Linked DNA regions of Coturnix japonica. The protein of the gene in region 3 purifies or fractionates together with the protein of the main gene of each other region. This does not show direct contact. Links are inferred from orthologs where the notes say so. Each region holds a gene or a part of one and is shown on either strand. Other genes may lie near its edges.

Region 1 (7,653 bases), on a different chromosome or scaffold from region 3:
GGAAGAGATGAAAGCTCACCATCAGGCTGACAGCGAACCAGGCTAAAATTCTCAATTTCACTTGTCCACATCTACCCAACAAACTCCACAGTTTCATTATATATCAAAAAAACAAAACATTTTTCTCCCTGGTTTAACAACTTCTGTTTGTCCATGACTGACTCAAACACAAACCCAATGGAAATGGTATAACTTGAAATACATACTACAATTTACTTTGCTTTAATCTTCCACACTGAAAAGTATCTTAAACATTTTACAGCCAATGCAGAAACTAGATTATGCAACGGAAACAAAACCCATATGTGTATCTGAAATCGTGTTAAAGCATTTTTAAATTCTGAACCATATCTGCAAAGCATTTTAAGGACAGCCAAGGATACATAGGGAAGCATTAATATCAACACTTATTTCGTGTTATGCCCAAGGCATATAAATACCTAGAAGCTATATAATTATATACTCATTTTCCCATTTCAAATAGCCCAAGACACTTAAATGTATTTATATTTTGTTTATTAACACTAAAGCTCCAAAATTGAGTATAAATGCCATGTATAAAAGTAATGTGGTGAGCAAACACGGCAGCGTATATTACACTCATACATAAAGTGTCAAGGCAGCTTTTGCAGCAGCGACGAGCGCTAGAAACATTTGATGGCACAGAAACAGAAAGCCTCTGCTGCCAATATAGCATCATTCAAGAAACGGCTTTCACACTTGTTTGGCTTTTTACGGTGACTACCATTTATCACAGGGATTTGCATTTACACGAGGATTTGCTCCCACATACCCCATCTTCTGTTGATGACCATGAAGTGACGTCATAATGCTGAATTTATCACATCACACTCACTTGCATTGCAACAGAGTTTGGTGAAAATCACAGAATTATGACCTCCCTGTGGGATCAAGCAAAGGAGAAAGGGGGATGGGAAAGAAAATGCCATTATTATACACACAAAGTGCTGTCAGATGCACAAATAAAGGTGTTTTTGAAATGGAGGCTTGCTTTCAGAGCATGCCTATCTCTATGTAGATGTTCGTCCAGCGACTAACATGAAGTACCCCAAATACACGAGGTGTTTCTTGACCATGCTGCAAATACAATTAAGTGTAAAGTAGTGTGAGAGGACACACACTAATGGTCAAACACTAACGGCCAGGGGCCCCTTCTCTCCAACTGTAGCTGAGCATGCTGCAGTAGCAGCCTCCAACTTGTACATGCCGGCACGTTTTTAAGAGTTCTGTTGAGCTCCACGTCGTAGCACGCAGCCTTCCTTGCAGTCACGAGAAACACAGTTTACTCTACCTTATACATACATCCAACTTGCACTAAAGTCAGCGAGCATATTCTGGCTCAAAAAGAAATAACCATGAGCCAGAAAATTCATATTGTAATTCATCCATGGTAACTGTGTTTGGAATGCTACAGGACTTCAGAACAGTTCCCTCACACACACTGGGTATTTTTATTTCAGCTGCCACCAGGCAAACCGCAGCCTTTGCAGGCAGCCACGCAGCCATTGCAGCCTGGCTAATGGGACAACCTGGCAGCAGCATCCTCTCCAAAGACATCACACCAAGAAGTTCTGTACCCTGCCTACTTTTTGAAGGGAAAATCTATTTTAAGAAGGAAGCAAGGGCAGGACAATCTGCAGAAGCTCCTTTGCAGAGCATTACATACCGCTTAAAATATTTTAGCAAGCCTGAATGGAGACAGCAAGTGGACAACCACAGTCCAGAAGTTCTACTTTAGCCAACAACATTGAGAGATCCCAACCAACACCACCAGGTCACATCATCTCATGGGCTGTGGTTACTTACAGATGAGGGCACAGTACTTTTTATCCCTCTCTAGTTGAGAACTATTTAGAATCCACACATACCTGCCAACCTCTAGAACAAAAATAACCCTGTATCTTTTACAACTCACATCGTTACATTTATTCTCAGTTCTTCTTCCAGCCAGACTGAAAGAAATATAAGTATGGTTTAAAAAAAAGTTCAAAAACTCCCTTAGTTATGAAGATTTAACACTGCCGCCACGGAAATGTAACACAGCCATGTACTCTGTAAGACACGTGCTAGATGTTTTCTAAAATAGAAGCTCATTCACGGGAGTGGATTAAACAAAGGAGATAAGGCAGCATTAATCTCAAGATAAAATCCTAACAACTTCACTGTTTACTACTCTCAGCCAAGCTGCAGTAACACCAGAAGCACCAGCTCTCTACCAACACGTGAAGTCAGGCTGCCTGCATTGAAGGGCAGAGAAACTGTCTAAGAATACAATATATATTTTCCAAAGAATGGAGCGTGCACTGACGGAAAGCAACTTCCCACGTGCCCATACAGAGATGTGGCAACAGGAGCACACAGCAGCGCTGCAAAGTGAGGCTGCCACACACCTTCCCATGTCAATAAAGCAGGGCAACACGCACTGGAGTCATTCAACATTCACAATATACACGACCTGACTCTGCTCCTGTTTGGTACTGGAACACAGCGCTCCAAGTGCACGTGTCCCAGAAAACTCTGTTGTATGCAAGGTATTTTAATCTTCAGCGGCTGCATCTCCACAGAAGAGCTGTGGATGGCAACAAATTGCTCCCATTAAGCAAATGAAAACGCACACTTGAAATTGCCTATGTGGCTCCTCTCAAGATGCAGGAATTCCTAGCGCATACAGTTCAGTTTCACAGCACCAGTCTTCTCAAAACACTTAAACCACAGAACGCTGGATTTCTCTGGCTAAATTCCCCACTGTTCTTGACTGCAGGTGGAGGGGAATCATGAGATTCACCATCAAACCACGACTGCCTTAACAAATAGGAGAAATGGTTCAAGGAAATACTTGTGAGATGCACACACCAAAAGCCACATGAATAGTTCTGACCATACTCAGAAGTAATGTCGTATGATTCCGTACAGCAACCCTTGAAACTGCACATGTCCAACCTATTAGATTCATGTTTTTGCTGCCATCTTTCTGTTTTAACATAAGTTTTGCTACTTAGATACATTAACTACATTATTTGTGGGCCAAGACAATTCCTCTTCACCCCACACAGCTCAGGTAACCCCAAAGCTCAGACACTCATGCTTAAAGCGAGGTGGCTCTGGTGAGGGTTAAAGTGTACAAAACCTGTTTGTGCCATAAGATCTGTTTTACAGGTGAAGCTGTAGCAACTGATTTGATGGCAGAGCGCCCTCCCCAAGGGAAAAAGAACCAGACAATCCATTGAGTGATCGAGCTCCTCTCCAACATCCACAAAGCAGGACTCGGAGGAGGTATGCTGCGCTCATGAATGAAATACCTACAGCCAAAATAGTACAGTCCCACACAGCCAACAACGTGTGATCAGAAGCACTGCCTCATCGCTGTACAGCGCTGCAACCCTTCAAAGCTGACCCAGCAGTAAGCAAACAGCACTTAAAAACAGTGGCAGAGTAGAAGATAGTTCCTGAACACGACTGAGCTGCATTGCACAATGGTTCTCTGCAATCCCCATCCCGTGCCCGGCATTATCAGGCACACGTTGTGTCCTTTGTGCAGCTCCGGCCAACTGGCCCATTTGTGCGCTCAAGAAGCAACAAATCCATGCCTCCAGAATATGCAAACATGCCTATTTCTGTTAGTTTTAACAAAACCAAAGTGTCCACTGCAACAGTAACACTCTTTATTTTGTCAGGTCCAAAGACTTTCTGTGGGTTTCAAACATTTCAACCTATTCAAAGCTCCGCACAAAAGACACAAAGACTCCAACTAGGCGGAGAAAGAGGTTCAGTGTGGCACTGCTCCTTATCCCACCTGAAAACACGGCAACAACTGCGTGACCGCATTGTTCCAACACCTCGTGTTGTTTCCCACAATACGAGCAGAAAGAAAAAAGAAAAGACAAAAGGAGAAAATAGCCCAAACAGGCTGCAGGCCTAAAAGTGCTGCGATCCACCAGGGGTGCAGCTTTAACACACAACAAGACAAACCCGGGCTGCACTTATTCTCTTCACACGGTGTAACGTGGGGAAGCGCCCGCGAACTCCACAAGTTGGCGGGTTAGCTCGGAAAGTTGCGAGGTTAAGGAATAGGTGGGAATTAAGAACAGGCTGATGGAGTTTCACAGCGGGGTTGGGAACGGGGCTGGAGAATAAAGACGCTCCCGCGAGGGGCAGCTCCACACACAGCTCCACACACACACAGCCCGCCGCGCTCCGCAGGGCCCGCTTCAGGGGCTCCGGGGGCGCTGGGGGCTCCGGGCCGGGGTTCGGCCGCACAATGGAGCCGCCTCTCGCCCTCACACGCCGCCGCCTCCGTGTGACGGGCAGCGGCGAAATGGCTTCTGGGTGCCGCCGCTCCCCGCCCCCCGCTGCCGCCAGCCGGGCTCGGGGCCCCGCGGGGCGCTGCGGAGGGGCAGGGGGGGCGGCTCGGAGGTCCCGTCGCGGCGCGGCCCGCTCACCATTTGCGCACTTTCTCGATGGCCGCCATCACCCGCTTGATATCATCCTTCGCCCGGCTCCGGGTCTCGGCCCGCACCGACCGGCCCGACATGCTGCTGGGGCTGTGGGGAGGGAGGGGAGGGGCAGGGCGGCGGCCTCAGCGGCGGGAATGCAGCGCTCGGCGCGGCTCGCGGCGTCCGTCCCTCCGTCCTGCCCGCACGCACAATGCTCCCACGGCTCGGATCGCTTCGGCTCCGTTCGGCTCCGCTCGGCTCCGTTCGGCTCCGCTCGGCTCCGTTCGGCTCCGCTCGGCTCCGCTCGGCTCCATTCGGCTCCGCCCGCCCGCCGGGCCCGCACGCTGCGCACGCGCAGCCCGCTCCGCCGCCGGCAGCCCGCGCGCGCGCAAGACGGGAGGGGCGCTGTGAGGAGATCGGCCATGGCGGCTTTGTTGGCGGCCAACAAGAGGAGAAACATCTGCTGGGATGCCCGGTGTGTGCCCACCGTGTGGTTGGACACCAGAGAGCTGAACCCCTGCGCCTCTGCTCCTATGCCAGCAGCCACAGGCCGCCATGGGGCCTCCACACAGCCCCCTCCAAGCTGAGTGAACCCACGACTTTCATCTTCACCTCAGTGCACCCTCCTCCTCACACAGCTGTGCACCACAGACCCACTGTACACCGAGCATCCATCCTGCTGGACCTAATAAAGCAACACACCTCACTGTGCTAATTACACAACCACAGACACTTCCAGAGCGAAGCAGTGATCTCTGTTTAAAAAACATTGGAACGCTTTTGGAGGGCCCACATTATTATTCAAATTGATGCTGAGGATGATGTAAAGAAGGAAGCGTGTTCAACAGCACTTCACTGATCTTTCCACGGCAACTCGTGTCAGCCTCATTATGCTGTTTATACAAACACTGGGAGATGCTGTCCCATTGGTATTACGCTGCTAATTAGAGCTGCTGCTTTCAGAAGGGAAAACAAAGTTTTAAAGGCCAAAATAGAAAACTGGTTTTAATGTATCTCACAGTGCTCTTTGCTGGCAGCTTTGTCTGCGCAGTAAAAATCTGTTCTAGCATCTTGCACAGAACATTTACCAGTGTATATAATCAATACTTCTGCATTGCTTTATTTTTTTGCTGTTGGGTGTTAAGAATGAATACCCCCCTTTGAGTAATGGAAATAGACTGCATTTGGTGTAAGCCCACCTGAAAAGAATGGCTCTAGCTGGGTGATCCATGCAAACAGACAGCGTACCAACCACTGTGCCATGCCTTACAGCTACATCCCCTGCAGACTGATGTCCTCCTGAGTGAAATAAGGACTTTAGAACAGAGCTTTCATGCAGCTTTCTGCAAAGATCCTTTCTGGAAAGCACCGTGTTTACCCAGGCCACGATTCAGCCAGTTCTGTGTAAGGGGGCACTGGAGGTGTGAGCCATGCCCTGGCAGCAGAAGTGCTTCCAAAGAGATTTCCAAATGAAAACCTTCTGCTGCAGTGGGACAGAGGGTGCAGTATTAGGAACACATACAATTGGGAAATAGATCTGATCCCATAGGCTTGTGGCATGTGCTAAACAGGGAGCTAACCTAGAGTTTGAATAATCTGAAGCTATGCAAGAGTTTCTAATAAATACATAATATGTATTTCACAGGTACTCGAGGAGTTTGGAAAATAGAAACGAGTAGAAAACCGTGGCAGCTACACATCTGAGTCTTCATCGATGAATTATCCATCTCATTTTACTGTTCTTTTTTCTGGCTCAGCAATGGATAGGCCAAGAATGCCGGCAGTGAATCCCTCTGCTGTGATTTCCTCTGGAATTTCTTCCATCAAAGCTGCTGCATCTGGAAAGCAGCAATGACAACATGAGACACACAAGAGCAGTGTATAAATGGCGTTCCAGAACAGTAAAATTTACAATTAACAAATAAGTGAATTGAATGCTTTTAACAGTGTATGCAGTAATCACAAAGTACTGTTCTACTAGCTTAGTGCATCAGGGAAACACTGTCAAGTCTGTGGGCTGTCTCACTTTGCAGTGAATAACTTCTAAGGGACCAAAGACAGCTTCTACACTCCTTTGGTCTGATGTGATCTTATGATGCCAATGGTATGCAGGGGCTGCACTGTGTGTGTGCAGTACAAGGGTTCCTGTTCTAGGCTGGTGTAGGTTAGGACATGAAACATACACAAATGCAGTCATCCTGTTACAATATGTACTGCTGCTTGGATGAAATCAATGCTGTAATTTGCATATGGTAGAATTCCTCTTTGCCTTTGGCGTGTAAACCTTCCACTGTGTTTCCAGTTCTATTTCCAAGCCAGCAGATAAACAGCAGTGTAACCCTGTCAGGTTCCAGCTGTATTTTCTTGTTCATTTATTTTTAGGTACACTCATCCCACTGTTGCATGGATGAAGGACAACCTATGATCTATATCTGTTCTTGCACTCATGAGTGTTTTTGACAGCTCTTGGCCTAACAGGGTAAAGGGCTTGCAATTTACATCGTTTTGTTTGGGAACTGAATCAGTCCTGCCTCTGTGCAGTGCAGAATGCTAATCTCATACCTGAGGGATCACACACGTCCAGGTCAGATCTTCCTCCTGTTGGATGCCTGCCCAGCAGGGCAGACAGATAGAACGCCAGCTCATCCTCCATCATATGCTCTCCTGTGTGCATTAAAACAAAACCAGCCCCTTGGGTTACAGTGTCATTAACACAAAAACTACAAGGCAACCTGAGCAAGAACTGTGAACAAACAAAATAGGGTAATTTGGAAGATTTGTTTTTTCTAAGGTGCAGACCATGTCACCAACTGAAACGTGATCCTAGCACTGGAAAACATTAATTCTAGGGAAGATGCGTCTTGTGTCTTGCATGAATTTGGGGCAAAAATATCCATTCAATAGAGAAACTCTGCATAACAGCTCTAGCAACTACTTTGTGCTTGCAGGATCCTGAGCTTCTGTTCCCACTGAAAAACCCCTGGCCCAGGACAAAACACAGACCATGTAGGCCTGTGCCTATGTCAGCAGCCATTTCTGCACAGGGGAGGAAAAAGACAGAGCAGGAAAGTCATAATCTAATATTCTGGGAGATCTGAACACAGTGTTTGTTCCCAGCTAGTGGCTGGTTCGTGTCCTCAAGCACGAGGTTATAGATCTGTTATGAAACTGTTCTACCCTATCTAATTATCTATTTATG
Region 2 (6,919 bases), on a different chromosome or scaffold from region 3:
CTCCTCAGGCCTCAGATCTCCTTGAACTATACAGCTTCTGCTTTGAACAGTGAAACAAAACCTTAAAGATTGATATTAATGACTGAAATGCTGATTTATTTTTGCAAATTAGAAAGCAATTAAATATTAAATTGAGCAGGGCTACTATATCCTAAAAAGTGCTGTGTTCATCTGACAAATGAAGCCTGGCTTTTATTTATTCATGGTCATACTTTACGGTTGAATTCTAAATATTCAGTAATAAATTCTATAAAATGAAATGGAATGTGTTAATTTTGGGCTTCAATGTCTATTTTTACTTAAAAAAAAAAAAAGAAACTAAAAAAGCGCAATTTTGGGGTTTACAAAAATAGCTTCCTCTAGTATTTCTTAACCCAAATACTCAGAATACTAGATTTTATTTCTTTACTTAATCAGAATAGAGAGCTAGACCTTCCTTCTGTTCCTATATTAAGCTTAGCAGAATGTAAGTACACAAACGTTATTTTAGAATTCTAATTTTTTCCATAACATCCAAAAGAAGGAGATTTTCTTAATGTCAGCAGGTCTTCCTTAAAACTGTTTCAATATAACTGGATTTGGGGCAATCTCGGCATTTGTCTACACAGCAAAGAAGTCACCCATGGACTTCCACACGTTTCCACAATGCAGTAAGTCTTAGCATGTAAACCTACCAGAAAGCTAAAGTTAAAACATATGTAATTAGATTTCAGAGATTGCTTCTTAGATGTTGCATATCTTAAGATAAATATGTACAGCTTTACGATGTACAACAACAAGCAGAAATAAGAGCAATATCTGCTGACTTACAGTTTTCACAGACAGTTCACAGAAATTACCTACTATTACTTTAAGTCTCCTGTTTGGGAGTTCTCCTTGAATCTAAAGAATACATCATTTAACTTGTGGCAGATTTCTCATTCTTGCTATACATTACACAGTTTGCACCATCAGCTCAAGCATTTGCAAAACAAATCCTTAGAAAACACCATAGGTAATGCTGCTGGTCTTTTCTTTACTTGTAGGTACAAGAATTTCAATTGAATGATTCATTTGTGTTGGATGAATTTTAAATAGGGGTTTTGTTTGTTTGTTGTTTTTAAAGATTTTGTTCTAAATGCCAAGTCCAGAGATGGAGTGGCGTAGGTGACTCTTTGCCAACTTCATGCCCTCTAGACTGTGTTCACCAAGGACACAGAATAGAGCAGAGCTTTTCTAAATTACAGACGCTTTTGAAGATAGTATGTAGACATGGCTCAGCTTTCTGTGTAACCAGGTTGTCCAAGCTTGCAACAGATCTACTTCCAAACAGATGCTGTTTTCTACACTTCCTTGTTTTGCTCCATTGAAATTGAGAGCATACAGCTTCCTTGCACAAGCCCAGCCTTTCAACCCAGTAAAATCAGGACAGAATAACATACGAAGACCTCTTAGTGTTATCTCCAACTACTGCCTGCACCGTCAGGTTCTTACCATAACCCTGCTGTTGTCCAGGATAGCCTTGTTGGCCTGGATATTGCTGCTGTTGTGGTGGGTAACCCTGCTGTTGGGGTGGTCCTTGATATGCATCTTGCTGCTGACCATATTGTGAGTTTCCTGTAAGATGATTGCGAGAAAGAAGAAACAACTGAAGGTGCTTACTTGATTAAATATTTTTCCTTTTAAGATGCACAGCCAACAACACAAGAACAAAATGAAAATGCAATATTGATTTCAAAAACTGAACAAAACAAAGAAAACTCAAACCAAACAGAAGGAATTCGGCCAAACAAACTGCAGTTAAAGCCAATTTTGCAGAGTTGAACTGCAGCACTTTCAGCATCTCTGCCAAAGGAGCATTGCATTTACTGGAACGTCACAGTCATAAGATCATGACTATACTAAATAAAATAAAAAAGACAAAATTAAGGACAGCTACAAGAGCACAGACTAGCTACACAAGATCAGCAAGCTGTTTCCTAACGGCACTATAATTATACAAAATATATACACACACAAAAAGATTTAGAACTGAACCAACAAATTTATGTTTAAATAAAAATTTCCATTGAGATTAAAAAAAAATAAAAAAATCTCTGAAGTGTTTTAGTCATTTTACTGTTGTTAGAAATGGCAAATTATGGTTATATATTTTAGGTGTTTGCAAGAAATTACTCTGAATGCTTCGAGTTCCCTGCAATTCTCAAGACAGCCAGCAACTAGTATTCTACAAGAGCTTTGCATGGGTATAAGTTGTGTTGTGCAAGAATTTTGGTTCCCGTTGCGGGTGGGGGAGGAAAGGGAATGTATGTGCGTATGTGTGTGAAGGTATATAGATACCTCCTTCGTAGTAATGTTGTGAGGAATCCTCATAAGGCCTATCGTAGCCTTGTTCAGGATACGACGGTTGCTGATAACCGTAATCATTATGACCTACATCAATTCGACAAGAGACAGGAAGAAACGTTAATGGCCTCTGAGTGAAAACCCTAAGAATATTTCATTTCTCAGAAAAATGAAAAAAAATTTCAACTGGATATACATGAAAAATATTTTTCAATTGTATTAGTCAAAGTTTTATTCATATGATTTTCTTTCATACTGAATTAACATGTGACAGGAAAAAAAAAAGCTTAAAGCAGTAGTTTTAGCAACATCACAGCAAAGGATGATCTTAACCTTCTGATAATCCTTGTTGGGGGAAAAAAATACTTTATCTTTCACTCAAAAAAAAAAGAAAGCATTTAGGCCTTTCACATGTAAATAACCTGAATTAAATTAGAATGAACAAAGAAAGCAATTATCATACTTTGTCTAACACCTGTTCTGCTGATCTCCAATTCGAAAGCATATGCTAAAAGCAGTGTGAAATAGAACAAATAAAGCTCAGCAAAGTTATGGATTACAGTCTACATTAAATTTTGCTTTGAAGTGACAGAAAAATAATATTCCCAAGCTTGTTTTTTCCCTACAAAAGTAATTCCTACAAGCCTTAGTGAACTTTTCCTCCAGTCCTGAGCAGAATCATTACAAACAAACTCTTCTATTCAGAGACAGTAGGTATCTCCGATTATGGAACCAATACATGCAGTAAGCACCCCACCTGTTTGATGCTTTAAGAGTAAGTACATCTGACAGATGAAAAAAATACAAGAACATATTGCATTGCTACTCTGGTAAAGAAATGAAGATGAAATTTTGTTTAAATTCTGAATAAAATTAGATCAGGTAGCTACTATAGAAGAAAACAGTATAAAATAAGTGGTCTTTGAAATTACTTCTGGAACTGTACAATACTTCATGGATGTAACCTAATAAAATACACAATCATTAACACAAAGCTTATAATACAATCTCTAGTTCAAGAGAAGTGTGATAAAGAGGTAGTGATAAAGAATGAATCTTTAGAAGGAATAATTCTCAGTGAATTCCTCTGTTCTGCCACAGATCTGTCAGTGATTATGTCCAATTGCCTTCACTATAGTAAATATACAACAATCATTTAAAGTTCACATTTATAACATGGAAGTTCAAAAACAAAAGTTTAATAATGATGAGTTATGCCCACTGTAAAAGAGCTTTGCACACATATATCCAAAAATAACACACGTAAACTTATATATGCATGGCTTGTTGTATCTTAAAATCAATTTAATAGAAATGAAAATTCAGCCAACTAACCTGTGCCCTTTTATTTGCAATGAGCAACAGCTCTGACAATAACACTGTTTAGCTTTGTGTACGTTTGTTTTGTTAAAAAACACTGATATCTACCACATTCCTTGAACTTCTTAAGAAAGCATTATACTGTGCACACTATTCTCACTGCAGTCATGACTCAACGTTTTTGTTCTCCCAGTCTCTGTTCAGTCTAAAAACAGGTCAATTGCAACTTTTCTAACTTAGAACACAACACAATAGCCTTTAGCACTCTAAACTCCACGAGGCAGGAGGACAGATTTATGCAATTCAAAGTTATGGCCTTGCCTAGAAAGCCCTGTGGGGTGGTAGGGGACTTCTAAGGAGGATTAACAGTTACAAGATCCTCAGGGCAGGGACCGTTCCATACCTTTGTGAAAATTACACTGAAGGCCCATACCAATAGCAACAAGAACACATTTGTGTGACATGAAAACTAAGCACTAAGTTAAAAATATAAAATATTTACAGAAAAACACATTTCTTAAGCAAGTTCATCAATTTCAGTAGAATCTTTATTAAAAGAATATCACCCCCTCTTTTATTTATAATGAAGTTATGATTTAATTCATCTCGACTGTACCAGACATACTAAAGATCCCTCCTTTTAGATACACCAATTACAGATTTTTCACTTTGAAATACTAAAACTGTTGTTATAGTTTCAAATGGGAGTGTTACAAATCACATACTCTAAATTGTAAAATTAATTACTCATTGTAACTAAAACTGTATGAACAATTCTGAACTTGGGAGCTTTTGTAAATGTGAGGTATGATATTCCATTACTACTCTTGTCCCATTCCATAATTTTGGGCATATCTGCATTAATACTGGGCAGGTATAGAAAATGGGAAAGTCAACATTTATGAGAGATTACCATCAGGGTAATATTGCTGGTTCATGCCTTCTGGAGGACCTTGTCCACCATGACTGTATTGGTCCCCATAATAGTCTTCCTGGCCTGAGTACTGCTGTGGTGGGCCTGAAAAACCACAACCAGTCAATAGGTAAATAACTTGTTTTCTCTATTATAAAGTCTGCTATTTTCTGATTTTACTATGAGAAATATTTCTCAAATGTACTCCCCACCCATACTGTTGTATTTCGGACAACATACGTAATCTATTTGACTTAACAACAACAAAAACATCTCTATATATTTTACACACACATACAAGCATACAGTTGTTTGGCTGCATCAGATTGAGTACATATATATCAAACTTCAGTTCTGAGATCATTTTGGGAACACATGTATAACAGCACCAAGTATTAAAAATGAAGTTACTCTTTTTCTAGAAAGACATGGGGGGGGGGGGATAAAAAAAGAAAAAAAGAAAAAAACAAGGCTGCAGAACACTGTTCCCTTTTATAATTGAACAAATTCAGAATCAGGAAGGTACTTCACTCTTTTTCTATACCTATCATTTTAATATTGAAACAGAATTCACTTGCATTCAAGTTTAACTGTGATACCAGTAACCTGTTGCTACAAGAAACAAAAAAAAAAGAGTCTGCAAACAAAGTCTGTAACTGGAACACCCAATGATTTCACTGAGATTTGGTGTAAACAAGAAAATTATTCAAAATAATTTTCCAGCTGGTTATTTAAAATCAATGTAAGAACACTGAAGAGAAGGTCTACCTTGCTGTGGCGGTCTGTATGGAGGAATCTGTCTCTGGCCCATCATGTGATTGCCTTGGTTAACTTGGCCCATCATTCCCATAGGTGGTTGCTGTCCCTGGTAATGCTGGCCACCAGCCTGTGGCATGTTGTACTGCTGGGAAGGAGGCTGCTGGTGCATCATTGGACCTATAAAAGAAGAGTAACAAATATGTCTTCTGTAACTCCACTTTAAAAAGCAGATCAAAGTCTCTATTTTCAGTTATTTCATGCACATTAGTTGTTTCTGCACCTACACAAATACAATGAGTTCAGTAATGAAGCTATGAAAGAGAACTCATACTATGTAGGACTGCTTTCTAGACGTCGTCTTCTTTGAACTAGAGATACAAATTTACTCATAAACAAATAACTAAAATTTTCTTCATTTTTCTATGTTTGTTTAAAAAAAGAATCTGCAAAGAAAATGTAGATATACATATATGTAGATATAATACCTGATTGTGAAACCTTGACAAGTTGTGGAAACGTTATTTAACACTGCAAATTCCTTGGGGCACAGTTTTAATATACCTTTAGCTGTTGTTATAGTGCAAGAACAAACCACCTAGCTGTTATCACAAAATAAACAATTTTATTTAGCCTGTAAAGACAAACTACTTGCATAACTGAGTCAGACAATCATGCAACAGGCATTATGCAAAAAGACCCACAGGAATATATGCACTGACCTCCACACAATAGTCCCACACAGATTAGTACAAAAATCTTTCAGTACCAAGCTGCTGAATCACAGAATCACCAAGGTTGGAAAAGACCTAAAAGTTCATCCAGTCCAACCATTCACCTATTACCAAGAACTCCCACTAAGCCATGTCCCTCAACACAACATCCAAATGTTCCTTACATCCAGACATTCCTTTCCAAATTTCTATGAGCCACAGATAGAACATGAGAGATCAAGTACTGCCCATGTTTTAATCACTCAAGAAAACATGGTTAAGGCTGAACGTGTAGTCATGTTAACCAGTAATGAAAACAGACAGCTAAAGAGTGACCCACTGACACAGTACAGCAATGAAATGATAACTGAGCCGTTTCATTTGAATGTAGGTTATGCTGATAAAACTTTTAATAAAGAATAGCCTCTTCACTTCCTCAGAAGAGTTATTTCAGCATTAAAATACGAGAAGAGTTGTGACAAAGAGCTAAAGTTGTCAAACAATCTATTTTCATAATATGCCAATTGAAAAAACTAACGCACATCTTGTAATTAAACAACAAAGAGAAAATAATTAGACTCACTGAAAAAAAATAAAACAAATAAAAATATCAGACTAGACCAACCACACTCCATTTCAAGAGAAAAATGCTGTCATCTACTTGCCAATTTCCACCATTGCATTTCTTTTCCACTATTTCTGTTGTTAATATGGTGCTAAAGCACTACTAATTCCTATGTAAGACTGAAGCGCTACAGAACAAGCTAGGTACAGTCAGTGCCAACAATGGACTTACAGATGGAATGGAATACAAAGTCACTTAGGTCCTCTCTGTGTGGGATTACAAAAGGAAGTTAAACCAAATTAATGGTATGAATTCAAAATGTTTTAG
Region 3 (7,531 bases):
AGTGATAATTTAATAAAAGCCCACATACTTCTCTCTTTTTTGCTCATTAACTCTAATGCCAGTCTAAAGGAGGAAACTGAGAATTACGGTGAATTTGACAACTGTTTCATCTAACCGCACAGTGGATTTAAACAGAAAGCAAAACAAGAACCGAACAAAAAGGGATAAAGGGACTTTTAAGGCTCTTATAGATAACCAGCTCTGATGCAATGGGCTCCTAAACCTCTGACTGTGTTCTCACATAACACATATATATATGTACAATACATAAATACAAATTAAGCAGCCCAACGGCGCTGTTTCTTCCAGCATCTCCAAAATAACGCCTCGGAGCTCTTAAACCATTGGTTGGCATTCTGTATCTTTGCTATCACAATGTATGACTTAACAGCTACTGCAATGACCCAACAGGGACACTGTGCTAACTTTCACCAGGGCTCAGCGGCCTGTGCAGACATCACAGCCAACGTTGCACACCAACGGCCAACAACGCGTCCAGAAAATGTTACTGTTTATCCTGGAAAAGGATCCCAGAGTTTGTAATTCATCAGGGAAGAAAATAAGAATCCATGCCTGGACAAGGTTGGCATATAGAAAATAATTACACCGAAGAAACAATGAAAATAGAAAGAAAGTTGAAACAGCGCGCTTGTGGTATCAAATATCAATGCAATCATTTTGCAGTAGGTAATATACATGGCAATTAGCTTTCTTACATTATATTATAATCAATTCATAATTCGTGCATACAAGGAGAGCTTTTGGAAAGGAGGATCTGAATTTAACAAACACTACCACTCATCATCTGGGCAAAGATGGCAAAAGGAATTTCAACATTATTTGTGATGTACAAAACCGAACCATTGCTGCTTTGTGTTGTGCTTCCCGTGCACAGACTGCAGTGCCTTCTGTCTGCTTGAGGGTGTGGCATCTGCCATTGGGGAGGAAAACTGGCATGTGTTGCCTTTTATAGCAGCCTGATTGCATTGTGCTGGGGGCCTCTATTTCAGAGGCTCTTGGTTCCAATCCCGCAGCCGACTTGCTGAAACACATGGAAGGAACAAGAGCAGTACCAACTCCTTGGTTTAAAGCATCACCTTTTTTTTTTGTTGTTGTTTTTCACAGAGAAAACATTTCAAATGAAATCTCTGTTAAACTTTGTGGGTTATTTTCCTGATCATGAGTTGTGGAGAACATTGGGAAGTTCTGAGGTGCTGCCGAGGTGCTGTCAGCAGATGCTATCTGGGTTTAAACGTCTATATTTTTGCTCAGATAAAATGTGTACAAAAGTGTAGTCGATCTTATGTTTTATTTTAGAGCACACGTGTAAATAAACACACACAAGTAGACATCTATATTTGTATTTGCATATGAAAGGCTAGAAAAAAATCAATGTACGCTATTTAATGTGTATAATTAGCGAGCATTTGAATGTAAAAAAGAAGAAAATCCAGGAGAAAATGTCAAAAAGGCTCACTAACAAAGATGTAGTATTCTCTTGGCAAAAGCTGATGAATGATTTGGCATGAATTCATCGTACAGTTCTGTTGTTCTCTCTCCCACAAAGATGATATACCCCATTCGAGCAGTCTGCATAGAACTGCAATCTGTTGTTGTTACCGGCCGTAATGACCCCTGGGTACACACCTGATTCCCCCTGCTAGACTCACTCACCATTTTTGTGCCACTCTTCTTTCTAGTAGCCGTGTAACATCTCGGCACTTGCAAACAGTACCAAAAGAAAGAGAAAAATGCGGTTCTAATGTAAGCGATGTGTTTGATGACCAGTGAGACTTTTCAAACCTGGCTCCATAATGGAGTATTTCTGAGTACTTCTGACTTTTCAGACAGAACTGAAATTAATAAGGGACTGGAACTGCTCTGTTCGCACTGGATCAATAATTATGGCATGGAACTCAATGTCAGGGCATGACGCTTCTGTTCTTTAATGCTTTCACAATGGGAATGATTAAGTCCACCTGCAGTCCACCTGGCCGTGACAGCATCTCCCATGACATGCTGCATTTCTCTCTACCAGAATCATTGAATTTCCTATTTATCTATTGTGAAATTTGAAAATGTGGTGATCATTAACAGCACGCATAGAAATATTCATTTAAAACCGTGTATGTAGGCCCTTACTACAATGAAGACGTTTGCTAACATCTCAGTTTGCTAGCTGCTTCCTTAGCAGAGTATTTGACCTCCAGATGCTTTATTAGTTTAATGTAGTGTGTAATGCTTACTTTTTCTTATGCTTGGGTACCATTTGTATCGGAGTAGTCATACAAAAACACTCCAAAAAAAACCCCCTCCATTCTGAGGGATGGTTTAAAAATGTAGGTCACCAGTAACAGCTTTCCACGTGCTATTTGGATGACATGTTTTGACTTTTGTTCTGGTATCGCACAGTGTCCTGTGCCCACTGGAAACTACATTGTTTGGGGAAACAATTACAAGACTACATGCCTCTCTCTTCTTGATCAGCTCCCATTATCTGCAAATAAGTACAGAGAACATATTGAGAACAGCCCTATATATAAAAGCATCATCAGCGCAAATGACCATTAGAATTTGGAGACAGCTGGGCAATGTGGACAATGGCACCGATGGTACGGCTTCAGAATTTAAGTTACGTTTTATAGCTGTCAGCACTGAAAATACAGATTTCGGGGGGGAGGAATAGGAAAAAAAAGGGGGGGAAGGAGGGGAGAAAAAAGAAAAGAAAAAAAAAAGAAGAAAGAGAAGAGAAAGTCGTGTTTTTCCGCGAAACATCCTGCATCCCCCGCCAGAGGAACGGAACGGAGCTCCTTTCCACACCTCCGAACTCTGCCCGCCGCCTGCGGAGCCCCGAGGCCGCCCGCTCCTTTCCTCCCTTCCCTCGGGACAGCGACCGCGGCCCGACCGCTCCGCCGCCGGCCCCGTCCCCGCAGCGCCGAGCGGGCGCGGGGCATCGCGATCCGCCGCCCCTTGACGCTCCACGTCCCGGAGCGGGCGGCGAGCGCCGGTGCCGGCGGATTCCAGTCCGCGTTTTGCGAGTGCGCGGGGCGCGGAGGGGGCGATGGCTGCCGGGGCTCGCCCGCCCGCCCGCTCGCTGCTGCCATGCTGGGCCAGCGCGGCTGAGGCAGACGTGCGCGTCCCCATATCCGGGTTAGGGAGGAAAGGAGGAAAAAAAAAAAAAGTTTCATTTAAAGCCGAACAAAAAAGTTCCAACATGAAGTCACAGCGCGGCGGCGGGCGCGCACCGTGAGGCGCTGTGCTCCGCTCCGCTCCGCTCGTAGCACTTCTCGGCCGCGGACCGAGAAGGGGATTTGTGCGGCCCGCAGGGACGGCCCGGCCCGGCCGAGCCCTGTCGCCCCGCTCCTCATCCCCCACCCCCCCCCACACCCCCCCTAACCCCCCCCAACCCCCCCTAATTCCCCCCCAACCCCCCCTATACCCCCCCTAACCCCCCCCAACCCCCCCTAATACCCCCCCACCCCCCCCTACACCTCCCCCCTCCCCGGCTCACCCCCCTCGCTGAGCGCGGGGGCCGAACTCCCGTCTTGTTGTTTTGTTTTGTTTTTTTTTTGCCCGATTTTTAGTCTTTTCGGTCCCGGCGCCGGTCCCTCCGACCTCGCGATGTGGCGGTGATCATGGCCGCGCAAGTGGCGGCGGCTCCGGCGGGGGCGAACAACGGGCAGGGCAAGGCGCCGGGCCCGCCGGAGCGCGGCCCCGGTGGGGGCCCCTCGGCCGAGCAGCAGCACCCCGCGCCGGCCCGGCGGCAGCACGGCGAGCCGGCCATGGCCCACCGCGCCGCTCCCAACGGCGGCAGCGCGGCCGGCGGCCCCTCCTCGGAGCCGGCGCTGAAGGAGGCCGGCGGCGGCTCCGCGGCGCGCTCCTCGTCGTCCTCCCCGCCTTCCTCCTCCTCCTCCTCCTCCTCCTCCTCCTCCTCCACCCCGGGCTCGGCCATGGAGACGGGGCTGCTCCCCAACCACAAGCTGAAGAGCGTCGGAGGCGATCACCCCGCCGCGCCGCCCCACCACCACCACCGTGCCCACCACCCGCACCACCGTGCCCACCACCACCACCATGCCCACCGCCCGCACCACCGCCACCACGCTCCGCCGCAGCCGCTGAACCCCTTCCCGCCGCTGCCGCCGCAGCAGCCGCCGCCTCAGCACCATCCCGCGCAGAATAGCGGCGGCAGCCTCGGCGGCGGCGGCGGCGGCAACAACAACGGCGGCGGCGGTGGCGGCGCTGCGCAGCCCGGCGCAGACATCGAGCAGCAGCAACATGGAGGAAAAGACGGCGTCCTGGGCGCTCCGGCCGAGCCGCCGCAGCAGCCGCCGCAGCAGATGCTGAATAAAGGCGCCGACGAGGAGGAGATGCCCGGCAAAATGGGCGAGCCCATCGGCGGCCGCTACGAGCACCCCGGCTTGGGACCCCTGGGCGGACAGCAGCAGCCCCAGCAGCCGCCCCCGAGCGCCGGGAGCGGCGGCGGCCTCGGCGGCGGCGGCGGTGGCGGCGGGGGAGGCGGCGGCGGCGGCCCCTCCGCGGTGGGTGTCTCGGAGTTCAACAGCTATTATGGCAACGCTGCCCCCGCCGCCGCCGGCAGCGCTACGGCGAGCCGCGCCGGGCCTTGCTTTGATCAACATGGCGGACAACAAAGCCCCGGGATGGGGATAATGCACCCCGCGGCGGCCCCCAACAGCATGGACCCCCTGCAGAACTCGCACGAAGGGTACCCCAACAGCCAGTACAACCACTACCCGCCCTACGGCCGCGGGCCCGGCGGCGGCGGCGGCACGGGCACGGGCGCGGGCGGCGGCGGCGCGGGAGCCGTGGCGGCGGCGGGAGCCGTGGCGGGCGGCGGCGGCGGCGGAGGCTACGGGGGCTCGGCGGCGGGCTACGGGGTGCTGGGTTCGCCCCGGCAGCCGGGCGGCGGCATGATGATGGGCCCCGGCGGCGGGGCCGGCCTCGGCAAGGCTGCCTCCGGCGCGGCGGCGGCGGCGGCGGCGGCCGGCGGCTTCGCGCGGTTCTCCGGGCAGAACCAGCACCCGTCCGGGGCCACCCCGACCCTCAACCAGCTGCTCACGTCTCCCAGCCCCATGATGCGGAGCTACGGCGGCGGATACCCCGACTACGGCGGCCCCGGCGCCCCGCCGCAGCCCCAGCCCCAGCCCCAGGCGGCGCCGGCCGCCCCGGGCGGCCAGCAGGCAGCGGGCATGGGCATGGGCAAGGACATGGGCGCTCAGTACGGGGCGGCCAGCCCGGCCTGGGCAGCGGCGCAACAAAGGAACCACCCGGCGATGAGCCCCGGCAGCACCGCGCAGCCCATCGGCAGGACGCAGGTAAGCCCCGCGGCGCCCGCTAAGGGGCCCGCGCGCCGCTCGCGGGTCCCCGCGCCGCTTTTTGTTTTCTTTATTTTTATTCAGATTTTATTTGCCCTTTCCCCCCCACACTTCATCCCATCCCCCCCCATCCCCCGCGTGGGTCGCTCCCTCCGCTCGCTGCCCCCTCTCGACACCCGCCGTGCTGCGGGCACGGGCTCCGGCTGGGCCTCACGGCGCCGCGTTGCTGCTGGGAGCAGCGGCCGAGGGCCCGGCCCGGCCGATGGGGCGCCGTGCGGCCGCGCTGTGTGTGTGCGGGTCGGTGCGTTCCCTTGGGGCTTCCCGTGGCGCTTCTCTCTTTTGCTAACAGTTCGGGCTGTATTTTTCTATCCGCACACAGCGAGTTGTCCGCGCTAATTAGTTTGTCTCTAACGCGGAGTTACCGCAGTGCACGCCGCTCAGCGCAGCTCGCCTGTTAGTTTTTTATTCGTGTTTTTTTTTTTTTTTTTTTTTTTTTTTTTTTTTTTTTCCCCTCTCTCCCTCTGTGGGAAGAGCGCGTGTGTGCGCGTCGCTGTGCGCCTGACTCACGGCGCCGCTCCGGCCCCAGCGCCGCGCTTCGCCCCTCGCATCCGCAGGGGCCGGGCCCGTCCCGGCGGGTCGTGGCCCGGGGGGGGCGTTAAGGCTCGGGGCGCCGCCGAGAGCCGCCCCTCCGCGCTCGTTCCGGCCGGGAACCGCCGCTTGTCGCCGTGGCGGCCGGAGCCCGTAGTCGAGGAGCGGCTCCGCTTCTCCGCAAGGTTTGGAATTTGAATTGTGGAGGTAAACGGGCTGCAACAGTCTCCAGACAGCTGCCTCCGAGTTGACATCTAATCTGCCATCTGATTGGCTCCCTGCTCGCCATTGGGCACTTCGCGCCGCTGATGTAAATAGCAGCGCCGAGCGGCGATGCCGGCACCCACGGCCCCGCCGACACCGAGCGGCCGGGTGGGGGTGGGGGGGTGCGGCTGCGCGGGAGCCAGCGAGGAGGGGGCGGCCGGGGGCGGCCGGGGGCGAGGACGGCTCTCATGCCTTCCTGCCTTCCTGCCCTCTCTCGTCCTCCTCGCTGCCGGCCCCACGCTGGTGTCGGTGGTGGTCGGGCTCCGCGCTAACGGGACGTGCCGGGAAGGCGGCTTTTGAGAGCCGCTCTCGAGTTGCGCGCGTGGAACCTTTTGTGCTCCTCCCGAAGCGCTTCGTTATGCGGGTGTTATGCAAGGGGTGTGAGGGCCGTGCGAAAACAGAATGCCTGCTTTGGTTTTATACGTCTGGATGGGGATTCAAACCCCACCGTAAACTTGAGGCCGTCGGTGTGGGCTCGCTCCTCGCTCAGCCTCCCGCGGCACCCCTCGCCGTGCACTGCGCTGCCGGGAGCGGACGGCGGGCGCCGTACAAAGGAGCGAGCAGAGTGGGGCAGGAGAGCTGCGGGAACGGCGGGAGGAGCCCCGCGTGCTGCTCCGGTGGGAGCCTGCGCTCCGCTCCCCTGCAGGACGGCGAGCGCTGTGAGGCGGAGCAGCGCGCTAGGACGGCGCGCCTCGCTTTTCCCTTCAGCGAGTCCTTGCAGTTACAGAGCTGTTAAATCCGGTAATAGCTTTTAGCAGTGAGCGCCGGCAAGAACGAACGCGGGCGTACATGTTTGGGCGCTCCCACGGCGGGGTGTGCCCGTACAGTGCGTTCTGAAAGCAACAAAACCCGGAGAAAAGACGGGGTGACACTGTGGGGGAGGCGTGGAGCGTGAAAAATAGGAGCAGAAGCCCGGGCTGTGTCTGCCCGCTGCCTACAGGGCTCTCCTTCGGGTCTGTGGGTCTCATTCCGCCTCCTTTATTTCTTCCACGGAAGTGAGATTCCTTTTGAGCGTCGATTTTTCCCTTTCTAATTTTGCCCTGCTATCGGGGTCCCTGGGAGCCACAGGGTAATAAGGCTCCTCGCGTGCACCCTATTGTAATTCATGTAAGGACACCGCGTTTTTTCGCTTGCGTTTGAACACGGGCAGTTTGGAATCCATTGCTTCTAAAGCTGGGAAAATCGTGCTCCGAGAGGCACAGCACGGCACATGGTTCTTCAGAGCGCTATTTCTCATGGCACGAATTGTTAAAAGTATTTTATTTTTATTGGCACGAGAGTAAATTCATTATGTCCTCAGTATGACCCTTAGAAATACTTCCTTATATTTATGGGTTTGTGTCCTC
Region 4 (6,919 bases), on a different chromosome or scaffold from region 3:
AATACAAACCCACTGTACAAAATGTTATTTTTTTTTTCCTTTTTCTTTTTTTTTTTCTTTTTTCTTTTTATAAAACCTGTTCACAAAAATAGTGCAAAAAAACATCGGGCACCAGCAGCAGGGCTGGCATTTGGAATGACAAACTTTGGTTAAAAGAGAGAGGGGGGCAGGGCTGAGCCTGCCCTCACGGTGGTAGGGAAGGGCTGGCAGGGCAGGAAGCAATGCCAGGAGGGGGCTTTGGCCAGAGGCAGGGCAAGGAGGGGATGGGGGCAGACAGCGTGCTGGCATCCATTGCTACAGGGAGAGGCAAACTGCAAGATGCAAAAGCAAGGACGTGTTAATGCAGCAGGATTTGGGGTAGGGAGAATTAGGGACCCTCTGCTGCTCTGCCTGTGGCGAGAGCTTCCTGGCTGAGGGGAGCCCAGGGGTACGAGAGGTTCCAAATCCCTCCAGGCACGTAGGGTTTGTGCAAGTGCTGTATTTGATTCCAGTAAGAAGTACCGACAGGCTCAGGCAGCAGGGAGAGGAGGAGGAACAGCTCCTGAGCCCTGCTGGCCTCTTAAGTGAGGCGGATCCCAAGCACTTGTTCCAGTTCCTGCCGACGCTGCTGGACCTGGAGGAGGCGAGGGAGGTCAGGCAGGGCTTGGGGCAGGCCCTGTCCCTCTCTGAGCACCAACTCCTTCCATACAAGCAGTCCCTGCTCCCTGTTTTCAGCCTCCCTGCTGCCATCTCAGCCCAGAGGAGCACCCCGCCAGCACAGCACAGAACCCACCTTGGCAAAGATGTGTCTGCCCACAGCCTCCTGGGCCCAGGGCTGTTGGTAAAACTCAGCTCGTCGCTCCTCCTCAGGATTCCCAATCACATCTGTTATGATCTAAGCAAAGCATAAGGGAGAGCATAAGGTGAGCGCTATGGCTGGCCCCTGCTCAGCCTCCCTGCCTCTCGCCCTGCCCTACCCTCGACATTTTTACCTTGAGGTCCCTCCTCTGTGATTTGATCCACTCCTGGATGAAATCCTGCGGGTTGTTGCTGAAGCTCAGCATGAAATCACGCTGTGTCTTCAGCTGGTTGATGGATTCGATGGTCTCATGGATCTGCAGAGATGACAGAAGGTGAGAGAGGCAGGTGGAACAACTACATGGGACCTGGAGTTCATGGAAGCCCCCAAACCAAGACACAGCTGGCACCAAACCCCCCCAGTTCAGATAGGGGGGAGCCCCTCACCTTGGCATCCAGTGAGGCGATCTCCTGCTGGTTGGTGGTGGAAGCCAAGAAGTTGCTCATCTGAGCTTTCAGGGGATCATCCACCTCCACGTCGATGTCGTAGCAGGCCGTCTTCTTCTGGTCATTGGGGTCCACGCTGGAAGGAGGCAGAGTGTTGAGGAGGAGGCAGATCAACCACCCTCAAAAGCAATACAAGGACTGCCCCAAGGAGCTCCTGAAGTTATTGGGCTGATTTTTCCCCTCCCAACAACCTCTGTACTCACTGCTGTTCTGAGATGGACATCTCACAGCACCTGCAGCCCTGCATCCTCATCAAAGAGTTACCACCCATTGCTCCATGCAGCCCAGCCCCCCCAAAGGGGGTATTGCCCAGCACTCCCACAGCCCTACCTGATGGTGTGGTTGATGATGATGGGATCCGGGTGCTGCAGGAGCCCTGCTAACTTCATGGGGATCTCAGAGAAGCGCATACGGACACAGTTGAAGATCTGGAGGGGTAAAAGCAGAGCATTTAGCTGCCAGTATCAGGGGCTCCTTCCACCCACCCACCTGAGCAGGAACAAGGTTTTGCTCAACCTTGCTTTGTGCATGCCAAGCTGATAGTTGCACAACAGAGCATGGGGAGGGGGACAGTGACCACTCCAAGCCAGGAACAAATGCTTTTCTTGGCTTTGAAGGATGGGGAATGGTGCTCTCCTCCCCAGCAGGGACCCACATAGAAACAAGAGGGCAAGGGCATCCCAGAGGGAGGTGAAGGAGAGCCGTGGACTCACCTGTCGGAAGTAGCGGTTGCAGTTGATGTACTCCTTCTCGTGGCTGTCCTGCAGCTTGTTGTGCTTGATGTACAGCCAGAGCGCCTGCATGATGCTGGCACGGGTCTGGGTGTGCACCCCCAGCAGGCGAGCCAGGCGAGGGTCCAGTTTGTATTGTGGTGGCTGCAGGGACATGCAGAATTAAGGGCATGTTTGGCATGTGGCCCTTCAGTGAGCACAGTGTCCTGCACAGCCCTCGTGCTGCTGCAGGCTGAGGGCTCATTCCTAGAGCTCCTCTCCACTGCTTTCTGTCCCTGTTCTGTATCACAGCACATTACCCAACTGCCTCCCTCATTCAAGACCCTCCCCAGCTTGTTTCAGCCCACTCAGCTGTGCTGGAGGGCAGCATGGCACTGCTAACGCCTTACCTGGTGATCCAGCATCAGCAGCAGGGTGCACTTCACATTGACATCGCCAGGACGCTTCACTTGGAAGCCATCAGTCTCCTGGGTCGTGGGCAGACGGTGCCACTAGGAATAAAGGGACACTGTTTAACTTGGTTTCACCAACACTGATGAGCTCCAGCCCAGCTGTAGGCAGTTCAGGTGGACTACGGGAGCACTGGATTGGGCTGAATGCTTGATTCCAATTGCTCAAACAGCTCCCAGAGTCACTGTGGGATCACAGTCCTGCTTCACCCACTATAGGGGCTCGATGCCACAGCAGCTCTCACAAACCATCCCACCTAATGGGGATTTACCTCCAACAAGGGGGTATCACCACAGGAATCAGTATTTGCCATAAGTACAGTCACAAAACTGAAGGAGCCTGGGGCTGCCCAAGCCATCCATCAGAGCAGATGCCTCCCAGCTCCACCCATGGACACGAGGGAGTTAAGAACCAACCCTGGGGCTATCATGGAGCAAGCAGCCTGCAGCTGGGAGCCATCCAGGTGAGAGGGGCTGGGCTGGCCTCACCGGGCTGCCAGCCAGCACCACTGAGCTGCAAACTGCAGCCTAGGAAGTACAGCAACGTGATCCTCGGGGATGGCTCAGCACTGCTGGGTAAGCAGGGCTACCTCCCATTGCACTGAACAGCTCTCATCCCTCCTGGGGTGCAGCCCCGCAGTGCAGCCAAGGACATCTCACCTCCACCAAATGGTTGTCTGGCCCGTACAGCTCTTTGTCCAGCTCGATGACGAGGCTCTTGAAAAAGGAGGAGAACTTCCTCTTCTGTTTGCTTGGCTGCAAAACATTGCGTGCGAGGCTTGGCCTTGATGCTGCCAACACCATGGAGGGCCCCAGCCCAAAACACCGCCTGCCTCCAGCAGCCAGGGAGAAAAAGGCTGCATCTATCCCAGCCAGGCTCTCAGCACAGAGCACCAGAGCTCTCAGCCCTCCTCCCACTGCCACGTTGATCCCTGCCCAGATCCTTACGTCCTCCAGCAGTTTGCCCTCCACGCGTAGCTCCCAAGAGGCCACACGCTCACCACCCTCCCCTTCTTCTTTGGCCGGGGTGAAAGTGTTGGAGATGTAAATCCTCAGCTTCCGCTTTTGCTGTGGAATAGGAAAACAAAGAGTGGGGATGCTTGGAGCGAGAGGATGGCTGCAAGCTCCCATTTCCTACCTCTACCCTCCCTCAGCTGCTTGCCCTCCTGGCCAGCCACGCACCGTCAGTGGTTTCTTGATGGCCTCTTGAATCTCCATCCTCTTCCGAGCGATGGTTTGGTCCAGCTTGCGCTCAAAGGCCAGGAGGTCCATGTAGGCCTGAGATTCTGGGACAAGCTCCCGGATCTATCAAATGATAAAAGTCAGTCCCTCATGTGCTGAAGGTGGTGCTGCATCCCATTTCAAGCCCAGCATCTTTACCAGCCCACAGAGCTGCACTGATTGGAGCTTGTCACTGTACCTGCTCCACATCACAGGCAGGGATTATAACCCTGCATTGTCAAGAGGAACCCCAAGAGAAAAGCTTGGGAATGACCAGAGGTCTGCATCGCAAGCCAGGGCTGCTCCCTGCTCACCCAAAGCCCTGCTTGTTTTAACTGTGCACATCCCTCTCTCTAACCTACAAGACTGAAACGTTCCAGGCATTTCATCCAATTCATCATGCAGCACGAGGTTCAATGAGATCGTCCTACCATGGGGGTTTCATCGTCAACTCCTTCCATGCACCAAAGTGACACTCACCCTCTGTGGCAGGACTTTGTCAGCCATCTTCCTCCTCTTCACCCTGCAATTAGAATGAAGTAAAAGAAATCATCCTGCAGCAACCTCAGGACACTGCAGATCTCATTGGCTGCCTGTCTTGGGGGACACAGCGTGGGGGCTCTTTTGGCCCCACCCAGGCCATGCATGGGGCCAGGCTTTGGGGAGTGCTGTGATGCCATGGGGATGGATCAGTTCAAGCCAGGTTCCAAGATCCTACTGCAGCAAACAACGTGATCCAAGGGGAAATGCCCCCATCAGCTACAGGACAGGCATTTCAGAACTGCAGGAAGGGAATGAAGAAAGGCTGTAAAAGCAACTAATAGCAGAAACCTTGGAAGCAAGTGGATAAGACACTGTACCCCAGGAACAGAGAGAAACACATGGGAAAATGCTCTCTTACTTGGCCCCATTTTTCACAGTTACGTTATAGCCCAGCATGCACAGGACAGTTCCTTTCCCTTGACAGTACCTAAAGCAACAGGGCAGCAAATGTGGCACTAAAATGTGGCACTACTGCTGCCATCCTGAGGCATCCCAGGATTTGGCCACTAAGGGCTGGTGCTGCCACCCTTATAATCCCCTTCCTTCCACAGCCAGTCAGGAGCAGGGAAGCTCAGCAGAGCTCTGTGCACAGCCCTGAGCTCCCCAGCACAGCTGATCCCACGCAGCCACAGCTTTATCCAGCTGCTGACGTCCCTGTTCAGTGGGCGAGGACCCATCAGCCTTGTGTCCTTAATCCCCAGCTTGCTCTGGAGCACAGAATGGATGCACAGCCCTGGCATAGAGACACTGGTCACTCCCTGCAAAGGGATCATAAAGCCATCAGCCTCACTGTGCAGCAAGGGCAGGGAACAGGACCAGAACATCCATTAGGACTGAGGGACCCTGAGGAATAACCTCCAGTAATCTAGAAGCCCTCACAGAAACAGGAACAGAGCAGAGGGATTAGCAGCATCATAAACAAGCGAGGAGCTGCTGGCAAAACCTCATGGCTCACAGAGACCATCCCAAGTAAACAGCCACAGATCTGGGGAGGATCCCTGCAACCTGCCAGAAGCTCTCTGCAGTTCTGCCTGTCTCCTTCCAGGGCTGGGAATTGAGTGTCCATCTATCTCTGTGCCTGCCCAGGACAGCACAAAGCCCCTGAGAACAGGGAATGGTTCTGACAAGCTGCTGCTTAAGCTAAAGCATTCAGCTGTTTGGTTAGCATTGGGGAGATCAGAGCATGGGGAAGCTGCATGCCAAGTGATGCACCCCAGCCTGACCCACCACCCCAGCACTGAGCCCTGGCTGCTTTCCCACCAGCTGCGGTGCCAACAACTGGGCCATGTTGTAGGTTTTAGTGGAGAAATGCAACCAGAAAACAGCAACCAGATGTAGAGAGTGAACCCCTCCGCTCCAGACTGGCTGAGGGTGCTCCTGTGTCAGCCCTTACCCTCTCCTCTGGGTGGCCATGGGTGGCTGGGACTGGGGAGCCAGCAGACGCTTCCTGAAGGGATCCATCATGGACTGTGGCAGGCCGGGTCGCAGTGGGGATGCTGCTCCATATGGGGGTGCTCCTGGAGGTCCCACTTGCAGCCCTGCCATGGGCATACGGCTGCCTGGTGGCATCCCGGGGCGCTGGCAGGGGAGAGAGAGACAAGAGAGGGGGGTGTTAAACATGGGCCCCTTAACCAGGGCAAGGACATCAGGAGGGTGGCCTTCATTCCTGATGGATGTAGTGCTGAATCCTTTCACTTCCAGGCACCTACACAGGGCGTTTACAACCCCCCCCCCCCGTGGGATGTTTAACTTCTGTTGCATGAATTCCAGCCTGGAGCAGTTCTTGTGGTCTCTATCTCCAGCATCAGCAGCTGACTCTGGGTCTGCCCCATGCACAGCCCTTGTGTGCTCAACAAAAGCTCCCAGCACCCCACTGCTGCTCAGCCCTACTTGCTCCAGCACGCTCTGCCTGCTCTCTGTTATTCTCTGATCCTCCAGCTCCCCCCTGGCAAGGAACTGGTGAAGCTGGGAAAGCCACCGAGCCAGCAGAACAGCATTTCTTCCCCTCTGCAGGTTCCCTGACATGCCAAGACAATTCCTGCAGCTCCCCTGCTGCCTTCTGACCCACATCCTGCAGACAGACACAGAGCTTCGGTGCACAGGAGCTAGCAAAGCCAACTCGTTATCCCAAAGGGGCCAGGAGTCCAGCAAGGAGAGCTCAGCCGCAGGCAATGCTGCAGGCTGACGAGCTTATCTGCATGTAGGCATTAATTCCAGTGCAAATCCCACATAAGATCACCAGCAGCAGCCAGCCTGGCCTCAGCAGCTTTTAAAGGCAGGCTCAGAGCCACACTGTGGGTGCTTGGAGCCAAAACCCACTCACCTCCTTCATTGGAATAGCCCAAAAGCCTATAAATGCAAACAACAGAATTGCTGAGGCTGCTGGACAATATATGAACAGCTCTTGCTCCACAGTCCATAGCCACGGGCATCCCTCCCAAGTGCCAAACCCAGCAGGAAACCCCCAAAATACACCAGCTTCAGCATGGAGGAGCATTCCACAGCTGGAAAGCCAAAGAGCAGCAGCCCAGGAGGTGGCAGGATGGGGACTGCAGGAGGAATTCATCAAGTACACGCACGAAACCCATTGCACAACCATCTGCTGCTTTCACCTTTGCTTGGCTTCCCTTTGAAGCTGCTCGCCAACCTGCCTGAGCTACGAGGCACACAAGCTTTTCCTAACAGCCCCCA

What was found.
Region 1: the proteins of ARID1B (region 3) and BCL7A purify together in Homo sapiens (affinity purification with mass spectrometry; 4 studies listed by BioGRID and IntAct, counting the BioPlex papers as one, with this or other methods). This does not show direct contact. The link is inferred for Coturnix japonica from reciprocal best matches to the Homo sapiens genes ARID1B and BCL7A.
Region 2: the proteins of ARID1B (region 3) and SS18 purify together in Homo sapiens (affinity purification with mass spectrometry; 4 studies listed by BioGRID and IntAct, counting the BioPlex papers as one, with this or other methods). This does not show direct contact. The link is inferred for Coturnix japonica from reciprocal best matches to the Homo sapiens genes ARID1B and SS18.
Region 4: the proteins of ARID1B (region 3) and SMARCD2 purify together in Homo sapiens (affinity purification with mass spectrometry; 5 studies listed by BioGRID and IntAct, with this or other methods). This does not show direct contact. The link is inferred for Coturnix japonica from reciprocal best matches to the Homo sapiens genes ARID1B and SMARCD2.

Annotation. Positions count from the first base shown.
Region 1 is NC_029530.1:4,908,428-4,916,080, reverse strand, and holds the start of BCL7A (B-cell CLL/lymphoma 7 protein family member A), read right to left. Parts: upstream 4,763-7,653; 5' UTR 4,553-4,762; coding exon 4,461-4,552; intron 1,088-4,460; exon of another isoform or gene 829-1,087; coding exon of another isoform or gene 794-828; intron 1-793.
Region 2 is NC_029517.1:93,953,868-93,960,786, forward strand, and holds part of SS18 (protein SSXT), read right to left. Parts: intron 5,495-6,919; coding exon 5,327-5,494; intron 4,664-5,326; coding exon 4,559-4,663; intron 2,413-4,558; coding exon 2,320-2,412; intron 1,597-2,319; coding exon 1,474-1,596; intron 1-1,473. UniProt on the Homo sapiens protein: Appears to function synergistically with RBM14 as a transcriptional coactivator. Isoform 1 and isoform 2 function in nuclear receptor coactivation. Isoform 1 and isoform 2 function in general transcriptional coactivation.
Region 3 is NC_029518.1:46,218,549-46,226,079, forward strand, and holds the start of ARID1B (AT-rich interactive domain-containing protein 1B), read left to right. Parts: upstream 1-3,540; 5' UTR 3,541-3,635; coding exon 3,636-5,333; intron 5,334-7,531. UniProt on the Homo sapiens protein: Involved in transcriptional activation and repression of select genes by chromatin remodeling (alteration of DNA-nucleosome topology).
Region 4 is NC_029542.1:1,251,788-1,258,706, forward strand, and holds part of SMARCD2 (SWI/SNF-related matrix-associated actin-dependent regulator of chromatin subfamily D member 2), read right to left. Parts: intron 5,807-6,919; coding exon 5,622-5,806; intron 4,209-5,621; coding exon 4,166-4,208; intron 3,770-4,165; coding exon 3,647-3,769; intron 3,533-3,646; coding exon 3,413-3,532; intron 3,221-3,412; coding exon 3,125-3,220; intron 2,507-3,124; coding exon 2,405-2,506; intron 2,160-2,404; coding exon 1,998-2,159; intron 1,713-1,997; coding exon 1,615-1,712; intron 1,361-1,614; coding exon 1,225-1,360; intron 1,095-1,224; coding exon 972-1,094; intron 875-971; coding exon 773-874; intron 614-772; coding exon 560-613; 3' UTR 1-559. UniProt on the Homo sapiens protein: Involved in transcriptional activation and repression of select genes by chromatin remodeling (alteration of DNA-nucleosome topology).